Linked DNA regions of Xenopus tropicalis. The protein of the gene in region 1 interacts with the protein of each later gene in a pairwise test. Links are inferred from orthologs where the notes say so. Each region holds a gene or a part of one and is shown in the gene's direction. Other genes may lie near its edges. The genes, in order: khdrbs2, hba4, ncoa5, cirbp, hnrnpr, dock2 and chtop.

Region 1 (3,500 bases):
GCCATGTTTCTGTATATACAGAAAAAATGGACATTTGTGGTTAAAAATACATTTCTACACTTATTTATATGGTAGAATAATTTATCTGCCTCGTCACTGGGGTGAAGATTCTCTTGCGATCATGCAGTAACTATATACAATATGTGGGAGGGCATATATTTTTTTTAGAAATGTAATTTAGTTCTTTTAAGCAGATTGATCAAAATTTGCATTTGTTTAATTTGAAAGGTTTTTGAACTGATTTATTAAAAAATATGATGAAAAAATGCAAATACCTCAATTCGTAAACTTTACATAACTTTAATAGATCGATTAGCTCCCCAAGAATTAAAAAAAAATTGAATAACTCAATGTGAAACAACCACAAAAGTGACTATTCTACATGACCCCACAAACTTTTACATGGTGTATTTCTACATTCACATTTTACTTGGTTTTGACACATAATAAATATTATGTAATAAATAATAAATATTGAATTATTTTTTTATAATTAAAAAATGTGATAATTAGCATACGAAAATACGAATCACAAAAAAATGAAGGTTAGTGATGAGCGAATCTGTCCCATGTCACTTCGTCATAAAATTTGCGAAACAGCGAAAAATTTGCGAAACATTTGTCGCACAAATTTTTTTTTTGTCACCCGCGCCCTTTTTGACGCAACCACGCCCTTTTTTGACGTGACAGCGCATAAATTGACACAACCGCACCTGTTTTATACGTGATCATGCCCAATTTGACACAACTACGCCCTTTTTTCACGACTGTGCCCTTTTTTGATGTGCAACGAATTTTTCCGTGGTGAATTTTCACAGAAGTTTTGTGAAACAAATCACCAATGGTGAAATGCGGAAATTCGCTGCAAATCCATGCCTGCCGAAAAAATTCGCTCATCACTAATGACGGTTAATTCATCAGGCTTTTTATGTTAATAGTGTATTTAATTGCCAAAAACTATATGTTATAAATGCAACTTTGTTCACACAATTTTAAAATAAATAGCAAAGATCATAAGGAGGTTGTCAAAACAATTTTTTCTTTTGCTTCTGAAAATTTTGCTTTGAATTATAGTTAATCCTTTAGGAATTATTGCATCAATACATTATTGCAATCAAGTTTATAGCATTACAGGCTTTTGATAATTGTGACATATGCCTAATGGTATATTTGGTATATTCCCTAATTGGACATTTACTTCAGAATCTTGCAAACTGTGAAAATGAGTTTTGCTTCATTATTTTCAGATATTGTATGCACACATTTATGTAATCAATAAACCTCCATGTTGATTATTTTTATGGGGTAGTTTTCAGGTAATTTTTCTTGGTATACATTCACGTGTATTGAATGATTTACACCCTAGCACAGGGGTCCCCAACATTTTTAACCTGTGAGCCACATTCAAATGTTAAAAAAATTTGGAAAGCAACAGAAACATCCAAAAATTTCCTGGTGGCACCAATTGATTGGCTATTAGTAGCCCCTACATGGACTGGCAGCCTACAGGAGGATCTGTTTGGCAGTGCTCATCGTTTTTATGTAACTAAAGCATGACTTTGTGCCAGGAATTCAAAAATAAGGACCTGCTTTTGGGCCCCTGGGAGCAACATCCAATGGGTTGGGGAGCAACATGTTGCTCACGAGCCGCTGGTTGGGGATCACTGCCCTAGCACAATTGCTTATAGGCAATAGTAACAACTATTATGTGTTTCTAATGTAGCTATTGCAGACAGATTGCACATATATATTTGTCCTGTTATTTTCTTTGTGTTTAGGGGTTTACTTACCTAAGACAATAAATAGCAATACCCTAGTGCATACCATCCATTTAAAGAATAAATACACACATAACAAAAGCTTGTAAATTTACCTTGTGTGGGCCAGTGGAATACAAAGAATACAAAATTTGTTAAATTAGTTAAATTAGCCTTATGACCTTTACGGGGCCTACTGGTTGGATTTTCTTTTTTTTAGTTCAGATTTTTTAGCACTAAAAGTTGCAGAAAAAAGTCAACACTACTCACTTCATGTAGAAGTAAATGGTAAATGTCTCTTTTCTTCGCTGGAGGATCCATTTTTTGCTTCAAAATTTAACAGGTTTTTAGATTATTGACGCTGTTTTTTTTGTGCAACAGTTTGAAAAAGTAGAGATTTTGGTGCAACTAGTCAAAAAATGTTGCAACTTTCCTGTGACTTTTTCCCACACACACTTTTTCAGTTCAGACTTTTTAGTAAATGTCAGACATTTATGGAAATAAGTTTTGAATTTTTAAAAGAAAAAACTGAGAAAAGTTAGAGTTTTAGTAAATCTGTCCCTCAATGTTTGCCTGAATAATAACTGTAAGCTGCAAGAGTGTTTTTCAAATACCATGCCAACTTTTATATACTTAAACACAAAATATGCAAATAGCCAAAGATATGCAAAACCAAAAACCATAGGCATATGGTCACACAGTGCCAGTGCCAATAAAGGGCTACTCAATATGCAATTGCCCTTGAAAGTTACACAAAATTGATGTATTTTTTTATGAACTGGTTCTTGGCTGTATAAAAGGTCTAATATGGTGATGAAATGATGTAGAGCAGCTTTTACTGATTATATTCTAGATTTATGTAATATTTGCACAAGGAAATTTCAGTTGGTTTATATAATAATAACAAACTTTAAATTACAAGGTTATCTTTTTGTTTTCAAAAATATAGAATTTCAAATATGGATTATTTTTGCAAAGGGATTATTAGACAGGTTGACAGACATATTTCATAAATTACTTAATTACCCCAAAGCCCTGTCAGATTTTAAAATAATTCCAAAAAAAGAAAAAACATTTTTCTATTTTTTATAATGTATTTTATTTATATAGTTTGACATTTATTGCCTAAAAATGTAGCTTGGTTTAAAATCATTGCAAAAAAACATTTCTATAACTTTAAATAATATCTTTTAGGAGGAAGAATTAAGAAAGAGTGATGAAGCAAAACATGCACACTTAAGTGATGAGCTTCATGTATTACTTGAAGTATTTGCTCCACCAGGAGAAGCTTATTCTCGCATGAGCCATGCATTAGAAGAAATCAAAAAATTCCTTGTTCCGGTAAGTGTCAAAAATGTATCAGTATTTTTTATACATCTAAAGAGTTTACCCATTTTTGAGGTTTGAGGAAAAACGCAAAATCGACTTTTTCTTCTGTGATGGTGTTTTTTTCCTCAAGCACTAGCTTATTTTAGAAAAAAAATGCTACAGAATATTTGGGGTCTTGTATTTTTTAAGAAAAGTTGCACAAAAGCGAGAGTCACATTGTTCCATTGCTTTTGATGAGGCTGAAAATGTGGAAGGTTTAAATGAAATGAAAAAGTTGTTTGCGACAATTCTCCTGCATTCACTTAATAGTGACTATCCAAGGTTTTTAAAGAAAATTCTCATGTATATTTGCGTTTTTTCGTTGCATTTTTTCATGAACTGACAAAAAAAAAGCAAACTCGAATTTTGAAATTT
Region 2 (3,831 bases), on another chromosome or scaffold:
TTAAAATGCAGAATTGCGAGAGCATATCAATCAGATTGTCTCTGAGAGTACAAGTACAGTGGTATCAAGGCATTTTAAGGAATGCAGTGGTGGAGATATGGCATTTTTAAAAATACACGGCGTTGAGAGATTATTTCCCTCTGACAGGGGCGGTGACATAACATCCAGACTTCTTCATAGGGAAGCATATTGGATATTTAATTTAGGTACACGGCAGCCAAAGGGTTTGAATTTAAAATTTGATGTAATGTGCTGTGTCTGACCAATAGGTGGTGCTGTTAGGCTCAGTTTGGCTACATTCCCTTTTTTCAAGTTTTAATGGGTTCAAGTTTTAATGGATAATGTCAGTTATATAAATTTTGCAACATTGTATTTATTTATTATATTTGTATACATTTTGTCTAAAAAGTAGCAATAGATGCATTCCAGTATAAAACTGTTGTATCTCACTTATATTTCTAAAACCAATGTTTTTAGGAGATCATGAAAACATCTATAAAGGGTTAATAATTAGCATATGCATTAATTGGAATTTTGATGTCATTTCCCCTTTTCTATTTTAAATAGCTGTTTGTGTTCATTTGAAATTTGTGCCTATGACTACGTATCTTTTGTATACAAAACGCGTCAGGACCTTTTTGTTTTAAGATCTCTACAATAAAGACAAGTTTTAGTGGACCAAAGAGTGCGTGCCATTTCTCTTCAAACTGATATTCTAAATAAGTTCATGTGTTTAACACTAAAAGAATGGAATTATATAACTCTCAATGATAATATATGCTATATTAATTACTTAAATTTTAGTTAAAAATATATATATTATGTATTTACTTCTACTGTAACTGCAACGTCAGATTTGCTTGTACAATGTCAACTGCAGTGCAGTTCTGAGAGCACTGCCCATCAACAGGGTGACCATGCTTTGTGGCTTGTCCTAAAGAAAGCAGAGGTATGTACGCCTTGCCTAACAGGTACCACACAGCACTGTTGTATTTCACCTTGCTACTTAGTAGTAATATTGGGTAAAATTAAGTGGATACATTTAATATGCATGTTACATTACAAGTTATCAATGAATTTAGAATGAATTAGCCATAAATCTGACCTTTATATATGTTTAGTTTGGACACAAAGTTTATAATGTAGGAAATGTTGAAGACAATAATGTATACTAACTATAAGAGAGACCTTCTGGAAACAGAACATGTACATTACAAACAAAGCTTTGGCACTATGATGAGTCATTGCTTGCATGGACCAGTATATGATAAGACTATTCAGCCCCATTATCATTCACGTCACTCTCTACATACGTGACTTACTGTATGTGGAGATAAATAACATCAGACAATATAGATTCCTGATCATCATTTCTTAGTTTTAAAGATAAGAGTTTGGGTGTAACAAATATGAGAGCCAATAGAAAATGAATTTGTGGCTTTAAAAGCAAGGTAAAAGTGAGCCATTTTAGGTACTGTCTAGTTCAGCTGCAGAATACCTAAGCCATTCATCAAAAATGACTTTCTCTAGTGCTGAGAAGGCTGCTATTGCCTCCCTCTGGGGTAAAGTGTCTGGCCATGCTGATGAGATTGGAGGAGAGGCTTTGGAAAGGTAATTTACTACATGATTAGTATTATTTTATGACTGTTTAGAAAAATATGTTTATTTTATATTAAAAATACATTGTGTATATATATATATATATATATATATATATATATATATATATATATATATATATATATATATATATATGTGTGTGTGTGTGTGTGTCTGTGTGTAAACATTCTAAAACCACAATTTCTTAATATAATATAAATATTAATAACTAGTTACATTTGTAATATAGTAATTATTATAGTATAAATAATAATTAAATAGTTTCATCTGTAATAGTAATATCTTTGTTGTCACCTATCTCTGTCAGCATTACCACTAACAGTGGTAAAGTAATCACTATTTTTGCCTGCTATAGCTAATTTATGATACTTTGTTTATAAAAGCTTTAAGTAATATAACAAAAAAAAAACAATATTTGGAAATCACTGACTTTCATAGCAGTAAGTATGATAGCATTTACAAATAACTTTAAAACAACTGAAAATGTTTAATTTATGTATTGTGGAAAGTTGCTTAACTTTAGTTCAGTGCATCTATGGTAAATGCCATTTCAGTAAAGACTGCCTAAAATTGTGTAAGAATTTTTTTTTTTTGCAAAACACTGTACTTTTTATTTACCCAGCCATCCAGCAGCACTGTGCATTATACATTTAAGGACTAACTTATGAACTTAGGTGCTGACTCACACAACTGCAGTTGCCAATAGCAACCAATCAACCAAAAAACTATAGTAGACTGTTCAAATCTAATTGCTGATTAGTTGCTATTGGCACATTACTACACTTGTATGACATTTGTTGTAGTTCAGCACATATGCTCATCCCTTATGCTTCTAAAATATCTGTTTATAAATGGTTTGTTTCTTGCAGGTTGTTTTTGAGCTTCCCTCAGACCAAAACCTACTTCAGCCATTTTGATCTGAGCCATGGCTCTAAGGATCTTAGTGCTCATGGAGGAAAAGTTCTGCGAGCCATTGGAAATGCTGCCAGTCACTTGGATGACATTTCTGGCGCTCTGTCTGCCCTCAGTGACCTGCATGCCTACAAACTGAGAGTTGATCCTGGAAACTTCAAAGTAAGTAGCTGGGTAGCTAATTTCCAATGTATTAGCTCAGTGGAAAGTAGAAATTTAGTGTCTGCTAGTTGTAAGCACTTGTCATTTTCTGTGCAATACTGGGCTAATTCTCTTAAAGAATTGGCAAAATGTATATCAGTGTACAACTCTCTCCACTCCACTGCCACTCTCTTTATAATGCCAGCTTTAACCTTCTAATAAACTTAGAGGGAAAACTATCATTTATTTTATTATTCTGAGTCATCTTGTTGAAACTACAGGGCCAACGCCTGCAGTTTATTTCCTATGATTACAAAATGCCCTGGAATAGATAACATATTTAGACACAATGTGTTATTAAAGTTAGTTATGCTACCTGACTAGAGACATGGAACATTGTAGAATTGATCTCTAATGTAACTATCTGTATCTGCTCTCTTGTAGCTGCTGTCTCATTCCATCCAGGTGACTCTGGCTATCCACTTCCCTGCTGAATTCAACGCTGATGCACAAGCTGCCTGGGACAAGTTCCTCTCTGTTGTCTCCTCTGTTCTGGTTTCCAAATACAGATAAACGAACAAAGACAAACGATGAAAAAACAATGACCCTTTCACCAGTGTCAACTGATTCATCAATAAAGTTTTAATCTTATTTTTAATTGTTTTGTTTTACACTTATTTAAGGAAAGTTTCTTCATGGGGTTATTGGTTAAAACAACAGAATAAACTAGAAAGGGAAGTTTGAGAACAAACTTCATGTTGGGTTGAAAAATGTGAAGTCACTGAATGAAATCTGATCTGTTGTTGGCTCTGCCCACTTTTTCTAACCTTGGACCACAGTTATATAGTAAAAACCACTGTGAAAAGTTTGGGGACCCTGGTTTTAATAGTGTCTGAATGGCAGCAATTTTAATTTCCCCACTGAAAGTCAACGAGTGACATCTGATTGGCGGTTGGCGGCTCTGCCTCTTTTTTCTAACCTGGAACTGCAGTTACCCAGTGACTAACTCTGCAAAGTTTAGGGACCCAAGGATTAATAGTTAAAAAATGGCAGCAGTTTAAATTGAAACCAATAAAAGTCAATAGGTAAATTGTGATTGGTGGTTGGTGAGTGTGCCCACTTTTTCTAACCTTGAGTCGAAGTCACCCAGTGACACAG
Region 3 (3,412 bases), on another chromosome or scaffold:
TTTAGTGGTATCCCTCAGGGTTCTGTACTGAGTCCACTTTTCTTTAACTTGTTCAATAATGAAGTGGGGGTGGGGGGGCGGTGTTGTAAGTAATGTGTGACCATTTGCATGACACAAAACTCTGCAGCCAAATTAATTCTATCCGGGATGTGGCATCCTTGCAGCAGGATCTTGACAAACTAGCAATCTGGGCGGCTAAGTGGCAGATGAGATGTAATGTGGATAAATGTAAGGTCATGCACCTGGGATGTAAAAATATGCAAGCCACTTATACCTGCAAATCCATAATGGAGAAGGACCTTGAAGTCCATGTAGATAATAAACTTGCCTACAGCAAGCAATTTTTACAAATAGAAATAAGTGCAATATTCAGTGTATGCTCCTCACTTCAGATACCTTGTGTCCCAGGTCAAATACAGTTCAATAAAATACTCCAAAGTGCCCTCTTCTGCTTTAGACTTTGCAATGAGGTCTTTTGAGGAAAAGAAAAAGAAAAAAATATATAATGCAATACTGTTATTACTTCATAATGTGCACTCTCATGTGCTTTTTAACACCAGTGATAACTTTTACTTATATCACCCTTTTGTGCCCAGTTGTGATATCTCTAACCGATTGCCAATCTACTTACAGACCCCCTTGGGTTTATATGGCATCCAATTGGTTTGCTTTTAGCTCACGACTCTGTATTCCCACCTCTTAATTTCAGGCAGTATTAGGAACCACTTCACATAGGTACATTTCCAACTTAGCAACTTTAGGTTATTTCCAAAACTTTTCCATTTCCCTTCCCCTTCTGTGGACTTACTGTGGGATAATACATCAAGCAATGCCAGTCAGGAGCTACAAGGGCAAACAAAGGGCATAGATTTGCAGGAGTAGGACTATTGGGCAGTATGCTTTTTAAATTTTGACTTGCATTCTCCTTTAAGGGGGGATATGATAACTATGTATAAATATATAAGCAGCTCATATAATCTCTCTAATGCTTTATTTACCAGTAGGTCCAACTGACACAAGGGCACCCATTCTAATTAGAAGAAAGGAGGTTCCGCCTAAATAAGTTGTGGAATTCTCTCCCTGAATCAGTTGTACTGGCTGATACATTAGATCAGTGCTGTCCAACTGGCGGCCCGCGACCCCCCTCTGTGTGGCCCCCCACCTGTCTGGCTGCTTTGATGGCTTACCTTTGAGTAAGCATTAAATGGTATCAGTACTGAGATTAACTGGCCCCCTGCATGGTTCTCACCTCAGATTCAGGCTGTAATCCCTCTGTATTGTTTAAAAATGTAATCCCCTGTGTTTTTCACACCTTTTAATCCCTGCATTGTTCACCCCCTGCAGTGTTCACACCTCAGGCTCAGACTGTAATCACTCCCATTGTTCACTTCTTCACACCTCAGACATAGGTACTGTAGGCAGAGTATGGCACATACAGCCAGCATAGGGCAGGTAGAGTATGGCACACACAGGCAGCATAGGTCAGGGAGGGTATGGCACACACAGGCAGGGTAGGGCAGGCAGAGTATGGCACACACAGGCAGGGTAGGGCACACAGGCAGGGTAGGGCAGGCAGAGTATGGCACACACAGGCAGCATAGGGAAGGCAGAGTATGGCACACACAGGCAGCATAGGGAAGGCAGAGTATGGCACACACAGGCAGCATAGGGAAGGCAGAGTATGGCACACACAGACAGCATAGGACAGGCGGAGTCCTGCCTGTGTGTGCCATACTCTGCTTGCCCTATGCTGCTTGTGGGAGGTGAACCTGGCAGGGGTTTGTTGTGGGAGTTTGTTAGCAGTTGGAAATAGCCATTAAATCGTCCCTAAGGTGTGTAATTATGTACTGGGGAGGAGGAGGTATATGGAATTTAAGGGTATATCTTAATATGACATAATTCTTTCACATATGAATGATGGTCGATATCCCCACAGTAAGGACCAAGCATTTGGGATTTTGCTGTGCTACCACCATTGTGATAAAATATTTGTGGTTTGAAGTGGGTGTGGTTTCAAAAAGGGGAGTGGTCAAAACTGGCTTCCATTAGCGGCCCTCCACCATGTATGCTAGAGAAATTCTGGCCCTCGGCACCGTAGAAGTTGGACAGCACTGCATTAGATGGATTTAAGAAGGGACAGCTTTTTAGCAAGTGAGGAAATAGTGTTGTGGGAGACAGCTCTTAGTACAAGTTGATACAGGCACTGGTCCGATCGAGAAGAATTTTTTTCCCCCTCTGCTGCAAAGTAAATGGATGGAGATGGATGAAGTATACTTTTGCATGACTGCAAAGGATAAGTGACTTTATTTTATTGCTGTGACATTTATTCACCCTGATATTCCTCCAGTTTGGGCTTCCAGGAGTTTGAGTTTTGGAACCATTGTTTTAAAGTATGTATTATGGTTGCACAAATGCCAAATGCTTTTTCTTGTTATGCCAGTGCTTTTAAGCAAACACAAATTTGTGTAATTTTTAAAGTTCAGAAGGTAAGGCTCTGATACCTCTCGGAGCTTCAAATGTATTAACTGAATAAGGTACAAACATGACATCATTAACTACATTATATATTTCTCAGTTTTTTTGTTTTTTTTTGTTAAATGTTCATTTACACAAGCCTGGGTGACTTTACTTTAACCTATTGTCTAGTTTATTGAAATAGAGTCTGTTGCATTACACCTTTTAGAAAATATTGTCTTGTTATCCCCACTGTTTTCCCTTCAATTCAGGAATTTCTCAATCAGCTTCTCTGGACCTAACATAAATGTAACATTAAAAATCTCTTCAGTTATATAAATATATAATAAACAAAAATGTATATATTTTCTATAAATTGTATAATAAATACAGGCATGTGAAAGATAATGCCTTACATGGGTTTGTACAAAATAACGGTCAAATGTGTGTGTGTGTGTGTGTGTGTGGTGTTCCTCCTGCAGTGAATATAACTCATTTAAACAATTACTGTATTGTAATATATAGCAGTGGAACCCTTGGTCTGGCTTTGGTCCATAATGATTTGGGGCATTGTATTTGGCCCACAGACAGCCTTTTGGACTTGTGTATTAGTGAGAGAGCTTGTTCAATGACGAGTGAATACAGGCCACGTAAATGTAGTTAGAGAGTTAGTAGACCTAAATCAGCCAATTTATGCAAAATTCAAAAAGCAAATGCTTTTGAATTTTGCCCTAATTGGCTGTTTTTTCATTAGTTTAGAATCCGCAAATGTTGCACAAATTAAAGTCTGGTTGTTTATCTTTCAGACGTGATGAGCATTTTGATAGATACCGTCCTGATGATCTTTATCGTAAGAAAGATGACATCCTTTTGGACCGTTACCGGGATACATTGGATAGACCGTTAAGGGAACCTGAACCTGGTTTGTTCTTAAGCTTATTCTTACAAGGCTTAACAT
Region 4 (4,188 bases), on another chromosome or scaffold:
CTACACAGAAAATATTTTATATGTTGCCAGTTTAATGTCATGAAAGTGTAGCTGCACTTTATAATTGTATGTGTGTGTGTGTGTGTAAAAATGTTTCTTCTGTCCCTGACCTGGAAGCAACAAAGACCACAATAGTGACAGGGGCATATGAGGAAGGAATATATTTAAACCAGTGAAAACTGGGTTTAATCTTTTTATTACCACGTTTGGGGGCAGGGTGGCTCTGTGACTGAAAACTTTGTGTACAAGATTATAAAACAGTAGTAGTGCAATACTTGAAAAATATAGTGCGTAATAATCAATGATAGTAGTATATACATAGGGTTTATAAAAGTTTACATGCACAATAACTTTAAAAGGCTGCATACCCCAAGTTTGGGATTAGATATATCCTCACCTATTAAAACGATGTTAAATATAAGTATTTTAAGCATAACCATAATACGTTCAATAACGATAATTATCACCTCTTTTTTTATCAGAATGTACTGTAGGAAAGCAGGGGTGGAAGGGAGATTTGCAAAACGAAATCTAACAGGCATTTTGATGAAAGTCGAGCACCGGGATTGCTATTTTTTTTCCTTTATAAACACCTTTAACTTATGTTCTTGCAATTAAACATAAAAACTATTCGTAAAGACGCCATTCGTTCTGTTATAGGTATAAAGAACGGAGCACCGTTTGCAACAGGGTAATGCATACAGTAACAATCAACTTTCCAGCAACCCTTTTCTGAACCTCCGGCGCCTTTGATTCCGGCGCCATTAGCTCGGCATTGGAATTGCCAAACGCCACTCCTAAACGCTTTAAGAAAATGTCAAGATTGGTTTCGAATAATAACTAAACATTAATGTTACCCGGTATAGCGTTAAAATAATATCATTAATTAGGATATCCGAACACCATTTTAAACAAAAAAAACCCACGATTCATAGCCGAGTTTTAACATGTGCCACCCAGCCCTAAAATGGCGCCTAAGCTCTCTCCTTGTTCTTTGTTCAAACGCGCAACGCAGTAACAAAGAGATCCTCCCAGCGACAATATTCAGCCAATACCAGCAAATAAATCCCAAGAAGCGGTCAGGCGACTGGATCGTCAATTCTAATATGACTCCTCCTCTGAGAAGCGTCCATTGGTATGAAATTATTGTACACTATGGTTATAGTTTAAGAAAATGAACAAAAATAAACACATCATGTGGTAATAGTTTTTAACTAACCACTGCAATACAAATAGTGAACTCTTTATTCATCCGCATTGCTCTGAATGATCTTTTTTCAATATCGCGCTATCAACCAAATGGTGTCGCCCGAACTGGAACTAAATAAATTATTCATGATGTGGGCGGGGTTATTCCTGGTATAAATGACCAAGTTCCGGCGTGAATTGCGCACTTCGCATTCGGCTTCCAACTTGTGTTGTATCGTCCGAAGATCATAGAACGTAAGTGGGGTTTTTCCTTTTTCTTCTGGTTTCAGCGTGTGAATTGTGGAGGTTAGCTCATGTGTCAATTGTTGCCCAATACATTGTAGGTATTCTGTATACGTGGTCACATTTAGTAGTTTAAAACTCCTCGTTCTACAACGCCTCAAATACCGTGTCATACTCGCGCCTTCGCGGCAAAACTGGCACGAATCTACATGTGGCTTAAATTAATTTATTGGAAGGTTCTTATTTAATTTATTGGAAGGCTCTTACTTTCTTCGTAGTGCTAGTCGAAGAGCTGTATATGAGCACAATTCATTATTTGGCGCGTAGTTTTTTTTTTTGTTTAATAAAACAATGAAACTGTCGACTGAAGAGTCGATGTAAAAATCCTAGCGATTGTGCGTGTAGATGGCGAAATAAATCCCTCACACGTTACCGTAAGTGACGTCATCCATGGGCTGAATTCCCGCCTTCTATTGTGCTACTGCGGCAAGGCTCGGATCTCTACCACGTGGTGGCGGCCATATTGGAAAGCGCTTCATGTGGCTTTGTCGTCTTTCTTTATTAGGTCTCACCATGTCTTGTGATGAAGGAAAACTCTTTGTCGGTGGTCTGAATTTTGAAACCACAGAGGAAAGCTTGGAGCAAGTGTTTAGCAAATATGGACAGGTTGCTGAAGGTATGTGTGGGCCTTTTTTTATTTTTTAAAATTAGTTCTTAAGCAGTTTTTTTTTCTTTTTTTTTTTTTTCTTCCTCCTTCTAAAGCAATGTGTATTTTCAGTGGTTGTGGTGAAGGATCGGGAAAGCAAGAGATCCAGAGGCTTTGGCTTTGTCACATTTGAGAATCCTGAAGATGCCAAGGATGCTATGATGGCAATGAATGGGAAGGTAAATGCACACATAGTAACAAATCCTTTTAGGTGTAAAGAGCAAATCTGATTCACTGTCTTTAGTTTATAACTGCCAGGTGGTTGGTGTTTATTGCTGGGATATGTAACACACTTTGTAGTGGCATATTGTCCTTGGTATTTGCATTCTACCACTAGATGCTCACTGTATTAATTAATAATGCTATGAAGGCACTAGGTAACCGCCTTGCATTTTGCAACCTCTAGGTAAACTGCCTTTCTTGAACTGTGAAGGCCCTTTAATTTACTTATTAATTTCAATTACTGTTTTGGCTTAGAATAACATGTTCTAAAAAGGTGTATAGTTATAAATCATGACTAAACAAAGCACAAAGACAAGTGTAATTCAGTGAACAGTACACTGACTTAAATGGCTAAAAATGTCCATTAAACATTAAATCTGACAATATGGCTTCTTTATAACTTTTTTAAATTCTTTTTTTTTATATATAGTCTGTAGATGGCCGTCAAATCCGTGTTGATCAGGCTGGCAAGTCCTCCAATGATAGGAGAGGTGGTTACAGAGGTGGCTCTTCTGGAGGCAGAGGGTTCTTCCGTGGAGGCAGAGGCCGAGGTTGGTATACATACTTTAGTGACATTGCAATATAGACTTGGAATATAAATGTTCTGGTAAACTTTTCCATAATACAAAGGGAAGAGTTAGCTCCCAGTAGATCTCAGAATAACAATTAATAAGAAGAAAGTCTAGCTTTGCACTAGTTACATGGGAGTAGGGGAAACAGGTTACTTGAAAGCAGCTCTAGTGTAGTGCTGGCTCCTGAAAGCTCAGAATCGGGCACAATGCACAGAGATGGCTGCCTACACACTAATAGTACAACTTTTATTTTTCCTTGAGTGAATTTTAGATGGTGGTTCATTTGCTATGTAGACAGTAATTTAGAAATAAGGTATACCATAAGAATCATGACTATATTGGTTAACCTTTCCCGGTAGACAAATTGCAGACGGACATTCCCGTCCCTACCCATTTGAATTAACTATAAGGATACTTTTTGTAGCGGCTTTTAAAGGGTATGTCAACCCTCATAAAAGGCATTATTGCCTGATAGAGAACCATAATTTGTTATTTTTGGTTAGGTTAACATGCCCTATAACCTGGGCTTTTATCTCTTTCCTGCACTAGAGTTGGGACAGGTTAACATTCGTGTAGTTTTATAAAACACAAGAACTTTTTTTGTGCAGGTGGTGGTGGAGACAGAGGATATGGTGGAAGCAGCCGCTTTGAAAACAGAAGTGGAGGTTACCAAAGCAGTGGATCCAGGGATTACTATGGCAGGTAAGTTTTGTGAATGCTCTGTAAGACTTCATTCTATTTTGATATTTGTTCTCCTGACAATGGCCTGTGTCTCTCTTGTGGCAGGAGTCATGGAAGCTATGGTGATCGTTCCGGAGGATCCTACAGGGATAGTTATGACAGCTATAGTAAGTATGTGGGGAAGTTACTAGAGAGGAGGGTGGAAAGGGTGGTACGTCAGTTGTGATCTTCGTGTTCCATCCAGTGATGGCTCTTAACTTCTCAATTTCTCAATTTGCCTCTAATGCATGTGTTGGTTCTGTCCTGGCTACAGGCAATAAGTGTTGGGTAGACATAGCTGGGAAGGGTATGTAGTACCAGTTTAGGGGAGGTGATGCTGGAATCTGTGCCTTTACAACTGTGCCTGCTTCTTGTCCTCAGCTACACAAGAGTAAAATCCATTCCTGACTCAAGATCGTCCTTCCAATGGCTGTATTTATAAAGATTTTTGGAGCTTCGCCGAATCGTTTGTGTAGTATATCTACTTGTGTTCACTTTTTTTTTTAATAGACCTAGTTAGCCTGACAGCTTCTCTAA
Region 5 (4,102 bases), on another chromosome or scaffold:
TCTGAAAGATTTGCCCGCCGTTTACGAGCGCTCAATACAAAAAAGTCGTGACAATATACGAGCAAATCATAACGGCTACGAAAAAGTCACTACAATTCGCACAAGTCGTAACGGCTACGAAAAAGTCGTAACGGCGACGAAAAAATCGCAAAAAATACGAAAAAGTCGCAAAGTGTTCGTTTCCAATCCGAATTTTTCCCATTCGGATTCGTGGATTAGTAAATGTGCCCCTATGTTTTGTATTTATATTTTATTATTATATTGACATCTGTCTTTTCTCCTAATATTAGGTATAGTGATGCAGGGCACAAGTAACCCTATATAACTAAACATATTCATATAAATATACATCCATATAAATTGTAAATATTACTCATGAATGCACAGAATGTAGTTTTCAAATTCCACCCCTTTTGTGTCACAATTAGCAAATTTTGTATTATTGTTATTATGGGCTAGGCCTGGATTTTGATCACCAGCCCTGGAATTACTGGAACTGACTAATATGACTGCAGACACTGCACAGAGATCATTGTGAGTGATATTAATAGCTATATCTATAAACAGCGCTTACTAATGTAATGTGATAACCTGTGTCACGTTCCTCTGTGAAACTTGTGTATAACAAGCACTGTTCCCTCTGTTGTAAATGTACTGCTTTTAGCAACAGCATTTGGGGTCTCTTATTTGAAAACCCAATGCCCAGAAAAGCTCCACATTATGAGGCCATCTTGATTTTCATTACATTACTTTAAACCCAGGTCCCAAGCTTTCCGGGTAATAGAGCCCATACTGGTATTTATGATATATGAACAACAAAAATGCAATTACACTGCATCACTGCTTGTGAAAGTTGTGGTATATGCAGAGTAGAAATGTCAACGCTGCGAACACTGACTCTCCTTGGCAGCTTTGGTGTTTTACACCCATACATATAACCGTGCCTTTCATCTTTTCATCTAAGCTGTACCCGAATGTACTGCAAGTGCGCATATTTGTACGTACATATATATGTATGCATATGTGTGTGTAAACGAAACTGGACTTAAACATGCAGCACAGACATTATATTGGTACATGCGATATATATTAATCGGTCCAAACAATAGCTCATTGAAAGCCAGCAGCATTGTCTTCCACCCCGAAAAGCTTCACATCCCATTCCTTTCCATCCTTAGCCATCCCAGAGGCAGCTATTTCATTAGCTACAAACTCTCTCGCAATCACCAATCCGAACCACTTCTTTCATAAGTCTGCCATTGCCTATTATGTACTCCGCTTCCCAATTGGCTGAGGTGTAACGCCTTCCCTCCCGCTTATTCGTCTCCTCCTACCCGCAATAGGCTAGTCCTTGGCAGCTGGTGGTGTGGACCCCGCGGCCAGTATTGTTGATTGGCTTAGTAGGGATAGAGAAGGCGGTGGTTCGCAGTCCGTGAGGCGCGCCATTTTACTAGCTCACTGTAACAGCGGGCGTGAGGCAAGAGGGCCATAGCTCTGCAGGTGAGTAGGCTTCCTCTGTTCTCGTTGCGTACGCTTCTGAGCGTCCGGCCACGGTTTCCGCAAAGCTGTAATGTTTGAACCTGAATAGCAGCCAAGTATGACAACCTTCGCCGCCATTGTACTTGTCCTTTTTGCGTTTTAAATTGGAGTAGATGTAAAACTGTATGAACAGTTAGGTGTGTATTCCGCAGTAATGAATACTATCCTTCAGACCTCAATAAAAAAAATCACTGCAAAACAATGTATAATGCTAATGGAATTCCGGAAAAAATATGGAATGGTTAAATGTTCATTGTAGCTTGTTTGAAGGTGTATGCCATTCATTTTAAATGGGCAGCATCTATTGTGTTCAGTGTATGTAGAGGTCCATGACTTGGGTGCTGAATTGCGTTAGGGCACTAACATAGTAAACGGGCTAGTTTTTATGGGCTGTCATTTATTGCATTTGTTAATATATGTGCCCTTTATACTCTTATTTATATTGCATAGTGTGCAATGTTATGTAACTCATAGCTATTGAAAATGTAGTTTCCAGCTTTGTTGGACAGGGCTTTGATATGTGAGGTTTTGCAGCAGCTGTAGAGACACAGTTTAGTCTCTTCTGGCTTGGCACTTGGAATCGGTGTCAGTTTCTAATTGTACAGTTAATTAATTAGTAGCAATTAAAATGATGCGTTAAAATGAAAGTGTTTTTTGTTCTCACTATAAAGGGAGCTAAGCTCCAGTAACCGTTTTGTGTTGTGATTTACCTATCGGTAATGTGGCAAGGAATTTTGCCATAACTTTTGATTGTTTATGGTGGTTGTTTTCTAAACAAAGTAAATTAGTTGTCAGTTGAGAGACCCTGACTGCCTATGGGCGCATGACACAACTGCCTGACATTGTTTAATTTAATATGCTCGCTGAAAATGTACTATAGTGGATAACAGGCGCACAAGTTGGACTCCGTTGGTTAAATGTAAATACATACAGATCTTAAATGGTTCTTATATGTTGCTTCCCCTGCAATTTTGTCAACATAACAAAAAGCCGAGTTGCATTCTAAGATAACTTGATGTTGATCCTCATTTCTTATCTTATTTTTTCCCCAGTTCTGGTGCTCATTTTGAACTATTTGATGCTAAGATCACAGTCCTTTAAAAGCACACCATCAACCCTAAAAAAAATTTAACACATGGAAACTGTATCTAGTGTTTAAGTGATTGGGGTTTAAGCAATTATCTTATTAAAAACCCAGTGATTGTAATTGTTCACCTGCCTGGGTCTCTGGTCAGGTAGGCCCATTGGAGTGCCCCATGGGCAGATAAGCTACCAACTTGGACTATAGGAGCTGAATCAGAAGCCAAAATCTGCCCATGTATGGCTGCCTTTAGTCAATGGATTGAAGATTGTAGAGGCAGGATTAGTAGCCCTTTTCTTTATTACTATATACATTTTTACAGGCTGGGGAGATAAGAAAAATGATGCCTATACTTTATTCAAATGGGATAAGGGCAAAGACACACAGAACTACTTAGTAGCAGCTACTTGTCACCGCTACTAAATGCCAGAAAATACCCTACCATAGACAATACTGAGAATTGCATCTGCTAAACACTCGTAGAGAGGATTATCAGTAAATGTCTGTTTTTGTAGCAGTGACAAGTAGCTGCTACTAGTAGCTCCATATTGCTTCATCTAAAGTGCTGTCAACTTAGCTAATATAGTACCTGTAAGAAATGCTTGGTATTTTACCTACCAAATTAAAATGCTGTTGTGTAGTTATCCCTAGCAGAAGGAATTCTGGGAAGGAAGCCCAGGATTGCTCTTAATTTCTATACCCTATCCTTACCCACTGGGTTTATAAAGCACTGCCAAGACAGTAGGCTGACTGGATTTCTACCCTGGCTGTGCTTTAAAACCCAGTGGTGAGTTTCTGTCTATAGGGTGTGAAATGGAGTTTCCTTTACAAAAAATTCCTTCTGCTTTGCATATGGATGAGGACATCTCTTCTCAATCAAAATTTTTTTTTTAGTAGCTGTTCCGAGTAATATCAGATTTGGTTTCTTGAAAGGGGCTTTTGAAGAGTAGGGAGGTTATGAGAGGTGTTTAGGAATGGCCTGACCATCCTCATACATTGGCAGCATACACGCGGTAATTACGATTTTTCCCACAACCATTGGGCATATGAAAGATTTTTCATCCTCTCTAGTAACGTTAAGAGCTGAATCGTCAGGTATGCAGGTAAAAACAGAGAAATTATTTACCCCATCTGACAATTTAGCATTAACTTTACAATGTTCAGGCCCCTTCAAAATTTTCAGTCCTTGGTGAGACAACTGATATCCAAGGCTTTTACCAGTAGCGGTCGCCTTGTCTCCCACTGTGCGCACACCGATTATCGTACAAAACTTTGTTTCATATGATAATATCTGTGCGTGTATGACAACCTTAAATCTGCAGGTTGAGTTAAGTTTTCATACCCCACTCCACATTCCATACCCCACTGCAACTAATTTGTACAGGATTTCCATTAGTCTTCTACAAGTAAAGTAATAAAAGTAACTCTTTACCTGAATCAGTCATGGTTGCTGTGGTTTACTGCAGTAGTGCATATTTGCCG
Region 6 (3,500 bases), on another chromosome or scaffold:
TAGAACAATATATTTATTCTGCAGAAACCATTACCATACCTGAGAAAACAGCTTTAGAAGCTTTCTCCATTTGCTTAAGATAGCAGCTGCCGTTTTAAGTAGCTTCCTGCCTGCAGTTCAGCCGTTATAGCTGAGATCACACATTCCTAAGGGAGGGGGAGGGAGTTCTTAGCATTCTCGTGGAAGGGAGGAGCAGGAGAGGGGAGAGAGAAGAGAACCGCGCATACTCTGGCCACTGGTATTAAGGATGTTTCTAAGAGAGGAAGTCAGACACTGGAACATCATGTTTACAAAAAAAGAGAAGAAATCATGTGTTTCCTTTGATAGAGGACTCAGTGCAGCGTTTCTGTGAGTGCTTATGGTTGTATTTACATAGACCTTTGTGATAAAGCTTACTTAGGTTTTACATTTTCTTCTCCTTCAGATTTGGAGTAGTGGTTTATAAGAGAAGCAAGAAAACCAGTTTCATTCCTCTTGAATGGTGTGTTTGAAAGACTGGTGCATTTTGTATAGGACATTTATATTAAAAAAAAAAAAGTATATTTTGAAGAATAATATTCTACTCCACTACATATTTTTTTATTGAAGTGGTGTTATGTTGCTTTCAGGGTGATAGTAAAAAAATGGAAGACGGCAGTACCTATTTGCATTTTCCTTTCACCCGTCAACAAATGGATAATAAAGGATCCACATTCAGCAGGAACAGCAGTAGTTCGGGAGGCCTGTCTGTGAGCTCACGAGATGCCTTCTCCATTTCCACCCTTGTTTGTTCAACTAAATTAACTCAGAATGGTAGGTCAATTGCGCTGGGTATCTTCATATTATGAACCACTGCCTGTTTATTTTATACATAATCCACTACCCAGGTGCACTCAACATAATGGAATTGCCAACACAACTCCCTATATAAGGACAATGGCACACGGGGAGATTTGTTAGACAGTAAAAATGCGCTACCGCGTTGGTGACAGACCTCCTGAGAAATCCAGCCCTTTTGCTAACACTTACATTGAAGCAAGTAAATTACATTACTTAGGCTTTATCATGGGAAATTGCCTTCTTTTGCATGTTCCCACAATTAAGCCGAATATCCCTGAGTAATTTATTTTACTTGCGGTGATTCCAATGTTAGCGAAGGGGATGGCATTTTTGGGAGAAAAAGATGCACTACCGCAGGTACCATATCTCCCTGTTTGTCATTGTCCTAAATGTCATTTTAAAAATTGTTTGTAAAACGGCTAAAAGCTATGTATTATTTATATAGCACCAACGCATATACACAGAGCTTATACTGCAGTCCTTGCGCCAGAGGAGCTGGGTCCCAATCACATTCACTATGGTCAGAAGCCAATTAAACTGCCTGTATGGTTTTGGAGTAAACCCACACAGACATGTGGAGAACATACAACTCCTTGTAAAAATGTACTTAATAAAATAAAATTTTAAGCAACTTTCCAATATTTTTGGAAAGTATTTTTGTTTTTTAATGTTACTTGTAAATTTAATTGCAATTTAAACCAGGGCCTAACTGTCTTTATCTACATATCCCAAAAATCAGCTTGTCTCCTGCCAAGACTCCATTTTCCACAATTCCTTGCATGCTATTCACAGGTCTGTCAGTCAGAACGAGCAGAGCAAGGAACAGCAAGGAACAATACTGTTTTTAGTTTCATTTAGATGACTTTTAGGGCAGTGACACATGAGAAGTTTTGTCACTTAAGTTAAAATGAAGATGAAATGGCTGAAAATACCCTACCATTGCTGAACACTGAAATCAATATGGGTACGTCAGTCAAATCTTGTAACTGCGTGAAAAGAATTGCCTATGTATTTTCCGGTGACTACTGAATGTGAATGATATACCTACAGTGAATTCAGTGCTTGTCAATGGCATGATATCTTTGGGTGGTTTTTGTCTGTATTTTAACAGGGCAACATAATGTCCAGTGTGTAATACATGTTTAATGAATGTTATAGAAAGTTTCTTAGAATTGTCTTTAATTGGGCGCCTACAACCCCTTTATATCTTTTATAAGTAGTTAGTCATAGTTAGTAAGTCACCTGATGCACTGGGGAATACTGCCCTAGACCCTGAATAAATAATATTATAGTAATACTAATAATAGGCAGTATCACACATAAAATATTTGTTTGGTACACAAAACAATCATAAATTTATCCAAAATTCAAATAAATCTACCGTACTAAAGGGACATATGTATGTCAATGACCCTGAGCTCCGCCCTACAAATTGATTTTTGTCATTGGACGCTTTCTCAGAGGATGGTATACATTATTTTTCCTGTTAACACAACTTTATTCATGATATTTTTTGCACTTGCATCACAATAGAATTAAAAACTGTTGTTTTTATTTAATCCTGCCAGAAAAAGGCCCAGCTGAACTAATGGTTCCTAAAGACTATTATTGATTTATGAAACTTATTTGCCTTTTGTAGACTATTTTAGAAAAATCGAGAAGAGTCTTAAATAAATAAAGCTTAGGGGCAGATTTATCAAGATGTCAGTTTAGCGCTTAATACATAAAAACTCACCCACGTTCTATTCATTCCTATGGGGTTTTTAGAAGTGTATTCATCAAAAAGTGAGTTCTAACTTTCACCCATTAATAAATACACTTCTTAAAATCCCATACATATGTACAACTCACCAATGTTCTATTCATTCCTATGAGATTTTTTGAAGTGTATTTATCAATGGTTGAAAATTAGAACTCACCATTTGATAAATACACTTCTGAAAATCCCATAGGAATGAATAGAACGTGGGTGAGATTTATGTATTAGGATCTAAACTCACATTTTGATAAATCTGCTACTTAGTATTGGATTGTGCCACTTGTAATCATAAATTAAAATTTTTGTTGTATTATAGGCTAAACTCATTTAGAGCCCGGGCAACTCTCATTAACTTCTACATGAACTCGCCAGCTTTTAGACTAATACGATTTTTTCGTAAGCATTTTTTTTTATATTTACGATTTTCAGAAATTATCGTATCCAATCCGAATTTTTCCAATTCGGGATTCGAACTCGTGTTTTAATAAATCGGCCCCTAAATCTCAAATTCAATTGTTAATAAATCAGCCCCCTATTCTATTAAGTAAAAATGTTAACATATCTAAAATAAAAAATATGGGGTGAACTTATGTAGGGCTACAATTTTGGGAATAAAACGTGATTAGTTGTGCTAGATCATAGACAGAACCCCATAACTGCCTAATACCACCCAATTACAGTTTACTACTGTACCCGCTTGTCTTTCATTTTGTGTGATTATGTTTGTGTTGGGCATTGTTATTATCTTATTATTATCTTTTACAAACCATTGCTTATTTTTTCTTTCTAAGTTGGCTTGCTTGGACTCCTGAAATGGCGCACAAAGCCAGAACATTTGCAGGAAAATTTAGAAAAGCTGAAGATTGTGGATGGGGAAGAAGTTGTGAAAGTATGTTACATAAGAACATGTTGCTGGAAACAT
Region 7 (4,242 bases), on another chromosome or scaffold:
GAATCTGCCAATAGTCTAAGGTAGATATATATACACTGCCTCCCCCAAGGAGTCCATTCGCTTATCCACTCAGGGCATTGAACTTGCACAGGTCTATACAAAACCTTATTGGCCCATATGGCTTAGGGACCAGGACTATGGAGCTATGCCAGTCACTATTAGACTTTTGAGGGGTGAGATCTGACTTTCACCCCTGGGTCTCTTCCTACTTTATATGTCTTACCAGGGAGTTCCGAGAACACGTCTGTAAACATAATTTCTCTGGCCACTGTGAGTTGCTGGCCCACGGGTACCTGGGGGCTTCTTGCTCCTTTACCAGTGGGACGATTTTGCCCCAACACACAGGTTCCACAGGGGAGGGCGCTGGTATTAGTGAGGGATAGAAGGGCAAATCCATTCCCGGTAAGGGGATTCCCCACTTGTAAATGGGACAATGCCATAGTGCTCGGTTACCTGCCCCCCCCCCCCACAACTGATTACCCAGAGTTCCACATTGACATGAAGAATTAAGGACAGGGTGTTGTTTATGGACGGCCAGGTACCATCTGGAAATATCCGCTTAATACCGGGTCCCAGCTTGGATACACATTCCTATTGGTTTTTGCTGTCTGCTCTCTGCTTCAAGACAACATAAGTGACTTTATTACATTCTTGGGAATGAGACCGGCTTCTAACAAAGACATTAGTGTGTGCTGCCTAACGGAGACATTCATGAGAAATGGTCCATTATATTAGTGTGGAACATGGGAGTTCAGTCCAGTACCATCAGTGGGTTCTGCTAGGCCTGTCCAGTTGATATGTAAGACCAGCGGCTGTGAAAATAAGACATTATAGAATTAAGTCTAAAAACAACTGGACTTTTCTGAGTTTACATTTCACCACTCATCTGAGTGGCTTCTTCAGAACTGAAGAAGCCACTGGGATGAGTGGTGAAATGTTTTCAAGAAAAAAACTCAGAAAAGTCCAGTTGCTTTAGACTTAATTCTGCTAGATACTGTATATCATGGCCTGGATGAATGGGAATGTTCATAGACACATTAATGCTGCCATTAAGCAGCACATGTAACACAGTTCAGTTCAGGACCTGTACCTCAGAAACAACAAAGTTTTGTTTTTTAGCTAATAATAACGTCAGATATAGTTTAGCAACCCCTACATTCTGAGATTCTGCAATGTAAAGAGCGCAATTGCTGAAAATGAAACTAGTCAGTTATGTAGGTGAGTGTTTTGCGTGCCCATCCCAAGATGGCGGCGACCTCTCGTTGATTTGTAGCGCATTTCCCTTCCCAAGATGGACACCCATCCCGGGCAGGTATCCATAGTAACCATCCACTAAGAGGCTCGGAAGGGGCGGGGAATGGAGATACGTGGCTCGACGCATTAAAGCCGCCTCCATTTTGCCGGCGTAGGGTCAGTGTTAGGCGCCATTTTGTGCTGTGTGTCGGGAGTAGAGCGATAGGCAGGGAGAGTCAGTGCTACCGTAGCCCTCTTGCTTTTATTTGGGGGGATCCCGTCCGTTAGCCAAGCGCACCCCGGACTCCAGAGCCGCTCGGTGAGTGTGAGGGGAGGGGGTACCGGGCTCGGTGCTGGGGTATGAATGGGGGGCCGGGGGTAACTGCTTCCCACGCCCCTGGGCATAGAGGCCTGGGGGGCTGAGAGGTATAGTTCTGTTTATGGGACTGATTCTGGGGGGGCAGGGTACTAAAGGGCTTTGGGGGGCTGGGAGGGGGGGCCAGGGTACTAAAGGGCTTTGGGGGGCAGGGTACTAAAGGGCTTTGGGGGGGGGCAGGGTACTAAAGGGCTTTGGGGGGGGCAGGGTACTAAAGGGCTTTGGGGGCAGGGGTACTAAAGGGCTTTGGGGGGGGGCAGGGTATAAAGGGCTTTGGGGGGGCAGGGTACTAAAGGGCTTGGGGGGCAGGGTACTAAAGGGCTTTGGGGGGGGGCAGGGTACTAAAGGGCTTTGGGGGCAGGTCTAAGCTTTGGGGGGGCAGGGTACTAAGGGCTTTGGGGGGGGGGCAGGGTACTAAAGGGCTTTGGGGGGGGCAGGGTACTAAAGGGCTTTGGGGGGGGCAGGGTACTAAAGGGCTTTGGGGGGGGGGCAGGGGTACTAAAGGGCTTTGGGGGGGGGGCAGGGTACTAAAGGGCTTTGGGGGGGGGCAGGGTACTAAAGGGCTTTGGGGGGGGCAGGGTACTAAAGGGCTTTTGGGGGGGGGCAGGGTACTAAAGGGCTTTGGGGGGGGGGCAGGGTACTAAAGGGCTTTGGGGGGGGGCAGGGTACTAAAAGGGCTTGGGGGGGCCAGGGTACTAAAGGGCTTTGGGGGGGGGGCAGGGTACTAAAGGGCTTGGGGGGGGGCCAGGGTACTAAGGGCTTTGGGGGGGGGCAGGGTACTAAAGGGCTTTGGGGGGGGGGCAGGGTACTAAAGGGCTTGGGGGGGGGCAGGGTACTAAAGGGCTTTGGGGGGGGGGCAGGGTACTAAAGGGCTTTGTGGGGGGGGCAGGGTACTAAAGGGCTTTGGGGGGGTGGGCAGGGTACTAAAGGGCTTTGGGGGGGGGGAGGGTCCTAGCCGCTTTTGGGGGGCAGGGTACTAAAGGGCTTTGGGGGGGGGGCAGGGTACTAAAGGGCTTTGGGGGGGGGGCAGGGTACTAAAGGGCTTCTGGGGGGGGGGGGGCAGGGTACTAAGGGGCTTTGGGGGGGGGGGCAAGGGTTTTAAAGGCTTGGTTGGAGAGGGTTAGTCTTTGGGGGGGATTGGGGGGGCAGGGTACTAAAGGGCTTTGGGGGGCTGAGCAGGTATAGTTCTGTTTATGGGACAGTGATTCTGGGGGGGCAGGGTACTAAGGGCTTTGGGGGGCTGAGAGGTATAGTTCTGTTTATGGGACAGTGATTCTGGGGGGGCGCAGGGTACTAAAGGGCTTTGGGGGCTGAGAGGTATAGTTCTGTTTATGGGACAGTGATTCTGGGGGGGCAGGGTACTAAAGGGCTTTGGGGGGCTGAGAGGTATAGGTTCTGTTTATGGGACAGTGATTCTGGGGGGGGCAGGGTACTAAAGGGCTTTGGGGGGCTGAGAGGTATAGTTCTGTTTATGGGACAGTGATTCTGGGGGGGGCAGGGTACTAAAGGGCTTTGGGGGGCTGAGAGGTATAGTTCTGTTTATGGGACAGTGGTTCTGGGGGGGGGGCAGGGTACTAAAGGGCTTTGGGGGGCTGAGAGGTATAGTTCTGTTTATGGGACAGTGGTTCTGGGGGGGGCAGGGTACTAAAGGGCTTTGGGGGGCTGAGAGGTATAGTTCTGTTTATGGGACAGTGGTTCGGGGGGGGGCAGGGTTGGGTCGGTACCAGTGCTGCTCATGTCCTACACTCCCTGTTTAGAGTAAAGGGGACTGTGTGTTACAAACACGTGACTAACTTTGCTGTGTCCCTTGCAGGTTTGCCAGACTTCAAGATGGCCGCCCCGTCTGCATCTAAAGTTGTGCTAAAGAGTACCACAAAGCTGTCGCTGAATGAGCGGTGAGGAAGCCCCACAGGCCGGGCAGCTGCTATAGCATATGTAGCCCGTGTCTCACACTGCCTCACATGGGCATGCCTCGCCCCGTGCCCACCCCCCCTTAAACACAAAAGTGGGCGCCCGCTGCTGCGGCAGCTGTACCACAGGGGGCCGGGCCTGTGTGTGAGATTGTCACTAGCAGTTGGTAAAGTATAATCAGGCAATGTGATACACTCACTCCCCCCCTTCTCTTCCACACGTATGTACATGGGTCAGAATCTCAGCTGCGGCCTGGTAGCATGTTACCTGCGCTGCGTTACACCCGCTGCCGTGCCCGGGGGGCGACACATGCCCGCGTGTGGTCGCTCCTGTAAGAGGCATGATTCGGGGGTCTCTCTCCCTGCCCAGAGGCCCTTTAACCTCGTTCTAGGGTCTTGTAAGAGGCAACCGCTTTGCTCAGTCCATTCCCTGCATGTGTCTGCTCTTGCACCCCCTCATTTCTTGGGGTCCCCCTGGGGTTTAACCATCCCATTCATGCCTTCCTGTTCCATCTGTACCCCTCTCGTGCCATGGTCTTTCCCGTAACTGGTGCAGTTGGTATTAAAGGGGAAGTTCACCTTTGAGTTAACTTTTAGTATGATGTAGAGAGTAAATTGCAATTGGTCTTCGTTTTTTTTTTTTTTCACTTTTTGTTCAGCAATGCTCTAGTTTGGAATTTCAGCAGTTATCTGGTTGCTAGGGTTCAAATTACCTTAGCAACC

The links.
Region 2: the proteins of khdrbs2 (region 1) and hba4 interact in binary tests that used the Homo sapiens proteins (3 or more experiments, as listed by UniProt). The two-hybrid records come from large-scale screens. The link is inferred for Xenopus tropicalis from reciprocal best matches to the Homo sapiens genes KHDRBS2 and HBZ.
Region 3: the proteins of khdrbs2 (region 1) and ncoa5 interact in a two-hybrid assay, tested with the Homo sapiens proteins (2 studies listed by BioGRID). The two-hybrid records come from large-scale screens. The link is inferred for Xenopus tropicalis from reciprocal best matches to the Homo sapiens genes KHDRBS2 and NCOA5.
Region 4: the proteins of khdrbs2 (region 1) and cirbp interact in binary tests that used the Homo sapiens proteins (3 or more experiments, as listed by UniProt). The two-hybrid records come from large-scale screens. The link is inferred for Xenopus tropicalis from reciprocal best matches to the Homo sapiens genes KHDRBS2 and CIRBP.
Region 5: the proteins of khdrbs2 (region 1) and hnrnpr interact in binary tests that used the Homo sapiens proteins (3 or more experiments, as listed by UniProt). The link is inferred for Xenopus tropicalis from reciprocal best matches to the Homo sapiens genes KHDRBS2 and HNRNPR.
Region 6: the proteins of khdrbs2 (region 1) and dock2 interact in binary tests that used the Homo sapiens proteins (3 or more experiments, as listed by UniProt). The two-hybrid records come from large-scale screens. The link is inferred for Xenopus tropicalis from reciprocal best matches to the Homo sapiens genes KHDRBS2 and DOCK2.
Region 7: the proteins of khdrbs2 (region 1) and chtop interact in binary tests that used the Homo sapiens proteins (3 or more experiments, as listed by UniProt). The two-hybrid records come from large-scale screens. The link is inferred for Xenopus tropicalis from reciprocal best matches to the Homo sapiens genes KHDRBS2 and CHTOP.

The regions. Positions count from the first base shown.
Region 1 is NC_030681.2:95,041,043-95,044,542, forward strand, and holds part of khdrbs2 (KH domain-containing, RNA-binding, signal transduction-associated protein 2), read left to right. Parts: intron 1-2,951; coding exon 2,952-3,098; intron 3,099-3,500. UniProt on the Homo sapiens protein: RNA-binding protein that plays a role in the regulation of alternative splicing and influences mRNA splice site selection and exon inclusion. Binds both poly(A) and poly(U) homopolymers. Phosphorylation by PTK6 inhibits its RNA-binding ability.
Region 2 is NC_030685.2:40,402,025-40,405,855, reverse strand, and holds hba4 (uncharacterized protein LOC100216102), read left to right. Parts: upstream 1-1,430; 5' UTR 1,431-1,516; coding exon 1,517-1,611; intron 1,612-2,489; coding exon 2,490-2,694; intron 2,695-3,117; coding exon 3,118-3,246; 3' UTR 3,247-3,331; downstream 3,332-3,831. UniProt on the Homo sapiens protein: The zeta chain is an alpha-type chain of mammalian embryonic hemoglobin.
Region 3 is NC_030686.2:20,087,902-20,091,313, reverse strand, and holds part of ncoa5 (nuclear receptor coactivator 5), read left to right. Parts: intron 1-3,260; coding exon 3,261-3,376; intron 3,377-3,412. UniProt on the Homo sapiens protein: Nuclear receptor coregulator that can have both coactivator and corepressor functions.
Region 4 is NC_030677.2:99,957,614-99,961,801, reverse strand, and holds the start of cirbp (cold-inducible RNA-binding protein), read left to right. Parts: upstream 1-1,388; 5' UTR 1,389-1,443; intron 1,444-1,996; 5' UTR 1,997-2,004; coding exon 2,005-2,107; intron 2,108-2,209; coding exon 2,210-2,316; intron 2,317-2,789; coding exon 2,790-2,910; intron 2,911-3,539; coding exon 3,540-3,633; intron 3,634-3,717; coding exon 3,718-3,779; intron 3,780-4,032; coding exon 4,033-4,046; 3' UTR 4,047-4,188. UniProt on the Homo sapiens protein: Cold-inducible mRNA binding protein that plays a protective role in the genotoxic stress response by stabilizing transcripts of genes involved in cell survival. Acts as a translational activator.
Region 5 is NC_030678.2:82,773,225-82,777,326, reverse strand, and holds the start of hnrnpr (heterogeneous nuclear ribonucleoprotein R), read left to right. Parts: upstream 1-1,302; 5' UTR 1,303-1,500; intron 1,501-4,102. UniProt on the Homo sapiens protein: Component of ribonucleosomes, which are complexes of at least 20 other different heterogeneous nuclear ribonucleoproteins (hnRNP). hnRNP play an important role in processing of precursor mRNA in the nucleus.
Region 6 is NC_030679.2:32,747,079-32,750,578, reverse strand, and holds part of dock2 (dedicator of cytokinesis protein 2), read left to right. Parts: intron 1-608; coding exon 609-792; intron 793-3,369; coding exon 3,370-3,467; intron 3,468-3,500. UniProt on the Homo sapiens protein: Involved in cytoskeletal rearrangements required for lymphocyte migration in response of chemokines. Activates RAC1 and RAC2, but not CDC42, by functioning as a guanine nucleotide exchange factor (GEF), which exchanges bound GDP for free GTP.
Region 7 is NC_030684.2:144,107,987-144,112,228, forward strand, and holds the start of chtop (chromatin target of PRMT1 protein), read left to right. Parts: upstream 1-1,442; 5' UTR 1,443-1,552; intron 1,553-3,422; 5' UTR 3,423-3,439; coding exon 3,440-3,504; intron 3,505-4,242. UniProt on the Homo sapiens protein: Plays an important role in the ligand-dependent activation of estrogen receptor target genes. May play a role in the silencing of fetal globin genes.